Elephas maximus indicus: one gene and its partner. The protein of the gene in region 1 purifies or fractionates together with the protein of each later gene. This does not show direct contact. Links are inferred from orthologs where the notes say so. Each region holds a gene or a part of one and is shown in the gene's direction. Other genes may lie near its edges.

Region 1 (5,515 bases):
AATACTTGTTGTATTGCGCTTTGTCTGTGCCAGGCACTGTTCTAAGTTTCTAAGTTCTTTATATAAACACATTTAGTCCTCACAACAACAGCACTATGAAGTAGGTTTAGTAGCATTCTATTGTAGAGTTGGGAAAACTGAGGCACAGAGGTTAAGTAATTTGTTCACACCTAGAAAATAAGAGCCAGGATTACAAACCCAGACAATATGGGTTCATCATCTGTGCTCTGAACCAGGGGTCAGCAAACTACAGCCCACCTGTGGCCAGCTTTTGCATGGCCTGCAACCTAAGAACAGTTTTTACATTTTGAAATGGTTGAAAAAAAAATCAAAAGAATAATACTTTATGACACATGAAATTCTAATTTTAGTGTCCATAAAGTTTTATTGGAACACAGTCATGCTCGTTCATTTATGTATTGTCTATGGCTGCTTTACTTTGGACATGTTATCATGTGGGACCAGTCTCTGGAGAAAGACATCATGCTTGGTAGAGGGTCAGCCAAGGAGAGGAAGACCTTCAATGAAATGGATTGACACAGTGGCTGCAATGATGAGTTGGAACCTAACAATAATTGTGAGGATGGTACAAGACTGGGCAATGTTTTGTTCTGTTGTACATAGGGTCGCTGTGAGTTGGAACTGACTCAATGGCACCTAACAACAACATGGCTGCTTTCCTGCTACAATAACAGAGTAGTTGCTGGAAACTAAATAGTCCACAAAGGCTAAAATGTTCCCTATCTGGCCCTTCATAGAAAAATTTGCAGACCCCTGGCCTAAACCAATATGCTGTCCTGCCTCAAAAAATAAACTGGCTAATATCAGAGAGGTAAGTGCCATGAAGGAACTAAAACAGGTTTGTTTGTAATAGACTTGGAGGCAGGTACTTTTACAAAGAGTGATCGACAGAGTTCTCTTTGAGGAGGCGGCCAACTGAATGACAACACGAACCAGCAGGAGGGAGTTTCAGCAAAGGGCAGCAAGAGCAAAGACCTTGCAGTTAGAAATGAACAAGACACTCTTGAAAAGCAAATGGCAAGTGCAGGTATTTGCAAGTGTAATGAATGAGGGGAAAAGCAGCAGAAAGTGAAGTTGGACGGGACACAGGTTGCAGCTGCCACGCAGGGGCTTAGAATGGAGCCTTTTGGATTTCATTCTAAGGTCAACAGGAGATTGTGAAATGGTTTTAAGCAAGTGAGGGACATGATACCGCTGCTGTGTGGAGAGTGGGTTACAAAGGAATGCAGATATAACACTGGTCCGGGTGAGAACTGATGAAAGCTTACATCCGGATGGCGCCAGAGTCTAAGGGTCGCCGCATGGTCGAGGGAGCCAAGGGTCCACGTTGGCCGGGATAAAAGCAGACCAGGTCTTGCTTCAACTCAGAAAAGATGTGGAAGGGGCCCAAGTAAGGCTTATCACTGTCCCAGGTCGAACAGGGGATGAAAAGAGCCGGCGGGGGTCTCAGGAGCCAGGGGTCAGGGAAATCAGAAGCTGGAAGGCGGGAATGAGGAGGCGAGGAGGCAGGAGGCAAGAGGCGGGGCGTCAAGAGGGAGGAGGTAGAGAGACGAGCTGTGCGGAAGCGAGGATATGGTGAAGGCGGGGCGAGGAGGCGGGAAGTAGAGCGCCGGGCGGCGGGGAGGGTGGAAGCTAGACAGCGGGGAGTCGAAAGAAAGAAGGGGAGGGAGTAGGCCCGGGAGGAGGGGAGGTGGGAGGGGCGGGGCGGGGACGAGAGGAGGAGGGCCGGTGCAGGGAGGCGGGGCCGGGGGCGGGAAGGCGGGGCCTGGGGACTGGAAGGCGGGCCGGGCAAAGGAGGGTTGTGGAGGCTTCTCTCCGGCTGTAATGGGAGCAGCGCCTCCGCTGCCTTCCTCTCCTCCCCCGCCCCTGTCCTCTGTGGTCGGCCCCGCCTCCTTCAGTACCTCCACTACCCAGGAAGGCGGTGCGGGCTGAGAGCTGCTTTCACTTTCCCTTCCCCGTGCCCACTCCTCGCTCCACGCGCGGCGTAAGGCCCCCTCCCCAGCCATGACCACACTCAGGGTCCAGCCTGAAGCCCAAGCCAAGGTGAGCGCAGCAGGTTAAAGGAAGGGCCCTTTAGGGAGGCGTGGCTCAAAGAGGCTGAGGGCAACCCTAACTAGCCTCCAGCCCCCGACACGAGTGAAGGTCAGTCGACCGAGGCCACGCACCCGGAGCACCTGAGCCCACGGGAGATCCTCCAGGCCTGCCTGCGGGAAGAGACGAGGCGACCGTGGTTCAGTGGGGTGAGGTGAAGCGGAGAGCTGGCGTAGAGGGGAAATCCGCTGGCCCGGGGCCGGGGCCACACACAGATGGGGTGCGGGACCTGCCCCTGCTACCTCGTGGCCTTCTCATCAGGTCCCCAAGTCCCATCCCACAGGGTGCTCATTCCTGCCCCAGTCGCAGGGGGCTCTCATACATGTCCTCTTCAGGGTGACCCAGGCAACCCGAGGGATCTGTTCCTACATGAACCACCCACTCTTCTCTGCCAGGAATGCTCTCACCCCCCTAATTGAGCCCCACGGGAATCCACTCCTCCACCACCCGGGTCCACCCCCACCCTTCCCCAGCTCCAGGCCCGATGCAATCCTAAAGGAACTGCTCTCAAATGAATTGGCCTTATAGCCAGGTTTCTGAAAGGTTGCCTATGCCCCACAGGTGAATGTGTTCCGGGAAGACCTGTGTGCCAAGGTAAGACCTGCCCCATCTGTACCCCCACTGGTCCCCAACTCCCACCGCTCAGCCCTCCCTCTCTTGCTGGGCAGCAGTGGCTCTGCATCACTGGCCAGGTGGGCCTTTGATTCTGACCTCTGCCTTCCCCCACTCCCACCTCACACACAGACAGAGAACCTGCTTGGGAGCTATTTCCCCAAGAAGATTTCTGAGTTGGATGCATTTCTAAAGGTACTGGGGCTGGGCAAGGGGCTAGAGAATAGGGGCCAAGGGGAGAGTGGGGGGGGGTCAGAAAGAGGAAGTGAGGACACCCTTGCCTACAGCCCTCTTCTCACCCTGCACCAGGAGCCAGCTCTCAATGAAGCCAACCTGAGCAATCTGAAGGCTCCATTGGACATACCAGTGCCTGACCCAGTCAAGGAGAAAGAGAAGGAGGAGCGGAAGAAACAGCAGGAGGCAAGCTGGGGAGAGGGACCTGATCATGGGGAAAATCAACCTTAGGCCTGACTCTCATGAGCCCCTCTCTCGCTGCAGAAGGAAGACAAGGATGAAAAGAAAAAAGGGGAAGATGAAGACAAAGGTACTTGAAACAACGATGGTGGGAAGGGACTTGAGTCCCACTCCCCAAGAGCTTCTTGCTAAGGATCCCTCCCCTGTCCCCCTCACACAGGCCCAGATATGTTACTGACCCATTGCCTACTCCCCAGGTCCTCCCTGTGGCCCAGTGAGCTGCAATGAGAAGATCGTGGCCCTCTTGCAGCGCCTGAAGCCAGAGATCAAAGACGTCATTGAGCAGCTCAACCTGGTGAGCCCTCCCACTCCCACCTCAGGCTTTAGGTTGAACCCTTTGTCCTCCTTGGTTCTTCCCAGTTAGGGCATGACACTACTAGGTCTTAGCAGGAACAGCATAGCAAGTGAAGCCAGAAGTCCAGGCCCTGGGGCTCAGGATGAACCTATCACACCTCCACCCACCTTGTGGGAATTGGGTGGGGGACTGCTGTGACTTAGATGCCATTCCCTTGTCCCAGGTCACCACCTGGTTGCAGCTGCAGATACCACGGATTGAGGATGGGAACAACTTTGGAGTGGCTGTCCAGGTGAGCATGCTGCCCCATGTCCCTGCCTTTCCTTCCCCTCCAGTCTATATTTCCTTCTACTTTATCCTCTTGCTTGCTTTCTCCAGGAAAAGGTGTTTGAGCTGATGACCACCCTTCACACCAAGCTGGAAGGCTTCCACACCCAAATCTCCAAGTAAGTGATCACCCACCCACACCCACACGCATACTCTGCTTTGGATTGGGGACAGAGGCCAGGGCTCATGCCACCTTCTCCCACTCTACACACTTCTTCCACTTCCCACAGGTATTTCTCTGAGCGGGGTGATGCAGTAACCAAAGCAGCCAAGCAACCCCATGTGGTAGGTAGCACAGGTCGGGATATACGGGGGGATGGACACACTTGGATGAAGTCAGGCTGACCCCAAGTCTCCCTCAGGGTGATTATCGGCAGCTGGTGCATGAGCTGGATGAGGCGGAGTACCGGGACATCCGTCTGAGGATCATGGAGATCCGCAATGCTTACGTGAGGAGGCGAGGGCAGCGCAGGGCAGGGGTGGGCAGAGGCAGCTTTCCCAGGCCACCCGCTCCCAGACCCTGCAGGCTGGGGGTAAAGGGTGACAAAGCGTGGCCTCTTCACAAGGCTGGAAATGGGGCACAGAGCGACTGGCACCTACAGCTGACCCCCCACTCCTCCCTGGCCCTGTAGGCAGTGCTATATGACATCATCCTGAAGAACTTCGAAAAACTCAAGAAGCCCAGGGGAGAAACAAAGGGGATGATTTATTGAGGGCCTCTGCTCTCATTTTTGTGATGAGTGCAACAGAGACCCTCCTGCCTTTTATCGGGGACTCCAGACTTTCCCCCCATTTTTCTCCTGTTGAGGTTTCTCTCTCACCTTGCCATCTAGGCACAATAAATATAATCATACTGTTACCCATCAGCCCAAGTCTCTTTATTGGATCCTGGCCCCACTGACCCTGGCTCAAGCATTTTCATTAGTGGGATCAATCCACTGGGTGATTTGGGTATTCAGCTGCTGGTTGGTCCAGTCCTGCCGGATGTCATCAAGGTGTGAGTCAAAGTCCACAAGGTGCTGGTGGGCCCGGCCCTCCAGAAGTGCTCCTACCATCTGCCGCGACTCTTCCCAGTCCCTCCACATCACTCTGAAATAGTAACCACCATGGAAGTCAAACAGTAGGCGATGGGGCCAGATGCAGAACTTGGCAGAAGTTAGGTCTAGGGAAGGACTTTTGGGGCAGGACAGAGGGAACCCAGGAACTTTGGACTTCCAAGAAGTGGAGGGAGTAGGGCACTCACAAGTTCTTGTCTTTGGGGGCCCAGCGGAGACCATGGTTCTCCAGGACAATGACTGGGGGCACACGAGGTTGAGGCACCAGTTTCTGATTATCTAGCTGGTGGACAAAGACAAGCGAGTTTCAAAGATCCCACCCACGATGTTCTCTCCGACTCCCCCAACCCTGAATCCCAAGGCTCACCATGATGAGTACTGCATCAGGGAAGAATTCTGCAATTCGCCCAGCAATTTTCAAGGCCAGGGGCCCAGGGCTGTGTAGAGGAAAGATCAGAGGAATGAGGAACTGGCTGGACAGGCCCCATCATCTGAGCTGGGTCTCCCAGATATGGGTGCAGTTGTGACCTTTCCTTGTAGCTGGGTAGGGGCTGGGGGTGGGGTTAGCTCAGTTTGATGTACAACTGCATGATGTTTGAATGCTATGATGGGAAACAGACACTGTTGGTGAGAATGAATA
Region 2 (5,515 bases), on another chromosome or scaffold:
AATGCAAGGCACAGACTGTCACACCCCCCCAGGCAACCCAGTAAAACAGCTCTGGGGGCACGGACTCACTGTCAAAACGCACAGGCAGGAGGATGTGGACTGCCGACTGGACAGGTCAAGCCAGCTGCCAGCCCATTTTTGAGGGTCTGAAGGTAGGCTCTCCTCTTTCTGACCACTGTGTTTGGGGGTGGCCGCACTAACACACATGCTTGCCTGGAGAAGTTGGGGGGCAGGAAGCCAAAGATGGAATGACGATTGTGCTTATCAGAGATAAGCTCCCCAAAACCAGGGTGCCAGGAGCCCCTCTCAACTGCCAAAACATGCCCAGCCCTCTGCCTAGCCAAGTGTCCCAAGGTCAGTGTCATGGTTGGAGAGGGCCCTGGAGCTCCACTGTGTGGGTTCGACTCCCAGCTCTACAACTTACCAGGCAGGCACTTAACCTCTCTATGCCTCAGCTTCCTTACCTATAAAGCAGAAGAGATAGTAAGCACCTGGAAGAACAGAACGAATAAAGACTTGGACAACTGTTAGAACCTGGCTGGTACGCAATAAGCACTACAGTAATGTTTATTACACAATTAAAACGCCACACTCTGAGATCTGCATTTCTACTGCTTCTCAATCTGCTGAGGCTCCTTGTTTGTTAAAATCATTGAACACCTAACGCCAGCTAATGTAGTAACGTTTATACGACGACAAGTCACAGACTGAGGGCCACCTCCACGAGGACCCAGCAGATTACCAAAGAACACAGGGCACAGTCAGCAAAGTGCACCCCGAAGGAAAATTGGACGCTCCTGGGAACCCGCAGGAAGAATGATAACGGAATCAAAAGTTCAGAAAAGAAAACGATGTAGCTACAAATGACGTTGTGGAGATTAAAGCGGAATGCCTGCCTCGGATTCCCTTCTGAGCGAGTCTTCTAATAAGAAACAATAAGACATCCCAAGTCTCCCTTTCAAAACTACAGGCTTTTGTCTAAAAAGCATTTGTTAAACACGTTCCTAAGCCTAGATCAATGATATCCCTAGAAAACTGCAGTGCCAAGCTTGTAAAACGAGAAGGAACGCTGTGAGGCAAATCTACAAAGTTTCTGTTAGCTGAAAAAGCAGGCCAGGGTGTCACGCTAAAAAGAATGTTACATGCGAGTACGAGGTGGTGGCGCACTGGTGAGCAAGTGGACTTCACGCGCGGGGCTTCGGGGACGAGATCCCCACACTTTGCTCCGACCCTTCCTGGCTCCAAGCGTCAGCACCTTTGTGAAAAGGCTGCGTGCCGCCCCAGCCATGCACCCCAGGCCCACCCGGCCCCTCTCCACTCGCCAACGTGCGAGCAGAAGCAAGTGGCCGCCGCCGCTTCGCCACCCAGGTTGCAACCGAGCGCGATCAGCCCTGCTCCTGCCCGGCCCCGAGACACCCTGTCCCCAGCCCCGCGGGCGGCGGCACCCTGTCCCCGGCACCCTGTCCCCGGCATGACCCGGGCTGGCTCCGGCAAGCACCGCGGACACCGGCTGCGTCCTGGGGAACCGGGCACCCCCGCACCCACCCGGGCCGGCGCGCCCCCCACAAAGTTGGCGCAGGCGGCGCGCCTCGGCGGTCGCACCCGAGAGCGTTGCGAGGGGCGCGGGGGGCGGCCTCGGTGCGGCAGCGCCCGCGCTTTGTTCCGGCCCTGCGCCCCCCGCGCCCGCCCCGGCCCGCGGCCCACCTTCTGGATGGTCTGCTGCGTGACCTCGCCTTTGCCTCTCGGTCGGGCGGACGCGAAGGCCACGGACATGGTGGCAGAGGTTCAGCCCTGGCTCATGGGGCTTATTCTCTGGCCGCGCGCGGCGTCCGAGGACGCTCTGTCTCCGCAGCGGTGGGGGCGGGGCGGGCGGGGGGCGCCGCGCGGTGGGCTCGCCCGGGCCGCCGCCTCCGCCTCGTACCCCGGCCTGCCCGTCCACCGCCCCGCGCGCCGCCGATCCTATCTCAGCGCCCCGCGCCGTGCGCTCCGCCGCCTGTCCCGCGCGCCGCACCCGCCGTCGCCGCTCTCGCCGCGCTCCCCCGCGCCCGCCGTGGTGCGCTCCGGACGCCCTCCCACGCCTTACGCCAGCAGCGTAGGCCTCCGTCGGCAGCGTAGCCGTGCGATGGCGCCGTAAGCCTCCGTCGGCGGGTCAGCCGAGCAGCGCAGTCGTAGGCTTCCGTCGGCGGCGTAGCCATGCGTCGGCAGCGTAGGCCGTAGCCCGGCGTGGTGCGTCGGCCGCAGCGGCGCATGAGTGTGCGCTTTTGAGGACGCGCGCGGGCGGTCTCCCCTACCTGCTGGGGCGCAGCGGGCAGTCTCCGGAGCAGGCCGTGCCAGGCCCGGCCATGAGCTACGACCGCGCTATCACCGTCTTCTCGCCCGACGGCCACCTCTTCCAAGTGGAGTACGCACAGGAGGCCGTAAAGAAGGGCTCCACCGCGGTAAGACCGGCCGGGTCGAGGCCTGCGCGAGCCCGGGGATCGAGGCGGAAGTGGGCCGCGCGGGGGCCGGGGCTCCTGGCGGTTTTCGCGGAGGGTGCGTGCCCCGGACCCCGAAGGGAGAACGAGCAGGGCCGCGCCCTGGGCCGGGGTCGACGGCAGGTGTGCGCCCCGAAACCCGCGGGGAGGGTCAGTGGGCCGAGCCGTGGGCCGGGAATTTCCCGGGGCGTGCGCGCCCGGAGCCCGCCGGGATGGGGCTGGGGGATCCCAGGAAGCCTACGGGGGAGCGCAGGGAGGATTCCCGGGGAGGGCTGCGCTTCGGGCTGTGCCGGGGTCCCGGAAGGGTGGTGCTCGGGAAGCTGCCGTGTGTCCCGCTGCCTGCGTCCTGGAGGCAGGCGCGGCGGGTGCGGTGGTCCGGGGCGCGGCGGCGGGTGCTGGGGGCTCGGGAAGCGGCGCGTTCTCGTGCGGGCGGCGGCGCTTTCCCCGGTACGCGCCTTAAACCTTGGCGCGGCGCGGCAGCTCTGCCTTCGCTGCCCTGCTTTGGTCGAGCCGCTGTGCTGATCCCTCTTTGTATTCGGGGGCGTGTGTGGTGGGCTCGCTGTTTTAACTGAGCATAGTGGCGTAGTGGTTAATTGCTACGGCTGCTAACCAAAAGGTCGGCAGTTCAAGTCCACCAGGTGCTCCTTGGAAACTCAATGGGGCAGTTCTACTCTGTCCTATAGAGTCGCTATGAGTCGGAATCGACTCGAGAGCAGTGGGTTTGGTTTTAGGTTGTTTTAGTGGTAGGAGTGGAGCGCACGGAAGCAACGACGCCGCTGTTCGAAAGGAAAACGGAGGAGGAACCGCGTTTGTGATTTGAGGCCTTGGGCCTGCGGTGTCAGTGGCTTTCTGCTGTTTGGGTGGAGAGCGAGCCAGGACTGAGCGGCTTGTTTATTTCTCAGAGGTTGAGTAGGCCGGGGACGTACAGCGTTGGTAACTGAAAGAAATATCGGCAGATGTTTGCCCACGGTTTTTGACAGGCGTTTTCACAAACAGCGGAGTTCCGGGAAGGGGGTGGAAACTTAAGGAGGGTTGCTTATCTTTCATTGCAGCGGAGTGCCCCCCTGAGCCCCGCGCGATGCTGGCAGTGTGACGGCCATCTTGGCGTGGTCACCATTGCACTGGGCGGGACTGCGGCGGGGGTGTGGCTGGCCCACGCACTGCAGGGGCGCAGATGGGCTCTCAGGGCTGGCTCCTGCAGGCTTCCTTGGTGCGCTGGAGCAACGATACTCAGCCAGCTCCGAGTTATGGGGGTCTCCTCCACTAGGGAAATGAGTTGTCTCCAAAGGACCTGGTGGGCTTGGAGAACAAAAAGCTGCTGGCTCCCAGTGTCAGCAATGCAGGGCCTGGGCAGGTGCGTCCCTGGATCTGACCATTAGGCCACAGAAGCCCGACCCAATCTGAGTCAGCCCGCGCCTCAGCTTACACCACGCTGGGCCTCAGCTCACACCACACAGGGCCGTTTTGATGTGCAGGGAGCTTAGAGACAGCACGTGACGCTGCCGTCCGTTTGTCACTGCAAATTCTCTGCCAGTTTTTCACTTCAAGCCCAGCACTGGGGAGGTTGGAGCTGCAGAGCAGAGGCAACCCGTGCGGTGCTATGCGTTTCCTTTTCATTTCTTGAAGTTTTAGCTGTTTAGAAATGAAGGCCCCAAATCTTACCTGTTGGCTTAGCTCCTGCAAACCAGTCCATTTCTCTGGGAGTGGTCAGGTAGTTCTGAACTGGGGGCACTTTTTCCTCCGGAGGCATTTGGCAATTTTAAGACACATTTTTGGTATCTAAATTTTTAAGGAGGTGGAGGGGTACTATCATCCAGTGGGTAGAGGCCAGGGGTGCTGCTAATCTCCCTACAGTGCCCGCACAGCTGCCCACAGAGTCATCTAGCCAGAGCGTCAGCAGTGCTGGGTGTTGGGAGGCTCCGCTCAGAAATAACCAGGGCTGTTATCTCTCTGAGAGTTGTCCCGTTGTGTTTGCTTCTGTCTCAGTGGGGACGGAACTGAGGTTCTCTCTTTGGAACAATGGCCACATCATCTCCTGTCTACCCTCCCAACAACAGCTGACACCTTTGTCCCCAATGGCAAGTCCTCACACAGCCAGGTGCATTAGCACACGGCACTGCTGGGACAGGCACAATGGGTTGTTCGTAATTTCACAACTTAGAAACGTTCGTTTCAGAATACCTAACTTCACTGTTAAGGAGCACTTGTGGTATGATGGTTAAACGCTCAGCGGCTATCCAAGAGGTAGTGGCTTGAACCCACCAGCGGTTGCACAGGAGAGAGATCTGGCAATCTGCTCCTGTAAAGATCACAGCCTAGGAAACTATGGGGCAAGTCTACTCTGTCTCATGGGGTCACTATAAGTCAGAATTGACTTGATGGCACCCAACGACATTAAGGGCAACTGTTTAACTCATTAGATTTAAATAACGCATATGCTAATTATATAGTAATTTAGTTACGTTATGATTGAACTCTCAGTATTTTAAAAGCATGGCGTCGGGCATTTTAGGTTAGAGTACCTGGATAACCTCTGTTTAGGTGCTGTCGAGTCCATCCTGACTCATAGCGACCCCATGTGCAACAGAACAAAACACTACTCGGTCCTCCGACATCCTTGCGATCACTGCTTTGTTTGAGCTCACTGTTGCAGCCACTGAGTCAGTCCATCTCATTGAGAGTCATCCTCTTTCTCACTGATCTCTACTTTACCAAACACGATGTCCCTGTCCAGGGGCTGGTCCTTTCTGATAATATGTCCAATGTAAGTGAAATGAACTCTTGCCATCCTCGCTTCCGAGGAGCACTCTGGCTGTACTTTCTCTAAGACAGATCTGTTCTGCCTCCTGGCAGTCCACGGTATATTCGTTATTCTTTGCCAACACCATAATTCAAGGGCATCAGTTCTTCTTCCGTCTTCCTTATTCATTGTCCAGCTTTTGGATCCGTATGAGGCGATTGAAAACACCATGACTTGGATCAGGCGCACCTTAGTCCTCAAAGTGACCTCTTTGATTTTTAACACTTTGAAGAGGTCTTTG

What was found. The genes of interacting proteins can lie anywhere in the genome.
Region 2: the proteins of PSME1 (region 1) and PSMA7 purify together in Homo sapiens (affinity purification with mass spectrometry; 5 studies listed by BioGRID and IntAct, with this or other methods). This does not show direct contact. The link is inferred for Elephas maximus indicus from reciprocal best matches to the Homo sapiens genes PSME1 and PSMA7.

What each region holds. Positions count from the first base shown.
Region 1 is NC_064828.1:35,493,975-35,499,489, forward strand, and holds PSME1 (proteasome activator complex subunit 1), read left to right. Parts: upstream 1-1,908; 5' UTR 1,909-2,025; coding exon 2,026-2,064; intron 2,065-2,673; coding exon 2,674-2,706; intron 2,707-2,856; coding exon 2,857-2,919; intron 2,920-3,033; coding exon 3,034-3,144; intron 3,145-3,222; coding exon 3,223-3,268; intron 3,269-3,395; coding exon 3,396-3,493; intron 3,494-3,716; coding exon 3,717-3,785; intron 3,786-3,871; coding exon 3,872-3,939; intron 3,940-4,050; coding exon 4,051-4,105; intron 4,106-4,182; coding exon 4,183-4,269; intron 4,270-4,452; coding exon 4,453-4,533; 3' UTR 4,534-4,679; downstream 4,680-5,515. Other genes in the region: EMC9 (ER membrane protein complex subunit 9), read right to left, coding at 4,729-4,909, 5,064-5,158, 5,243-5,312. UniProt on the Homo sapiens protein: Implicated in immunoproteasome assembly and required for efficient antigen processing. The PA28 activator complex enhances the generation of class I binding peptides by altering the cleavage pattern of the proteasome.
Region 2 is NC_064843.1:5,784,523-5,790,037, forward strand, and holds the start of PSMA7 (proteasome subunit alpha type-7), read left to right. Parts: upstream 1-2,213; 5' UTR 2,214-2,342; coding exon 2,343-2,438; intron 2,439-5,515. Other genes in the region: SS18L1 (calcium-responsive transactivator), read right to left, coding at 1,705-1,773.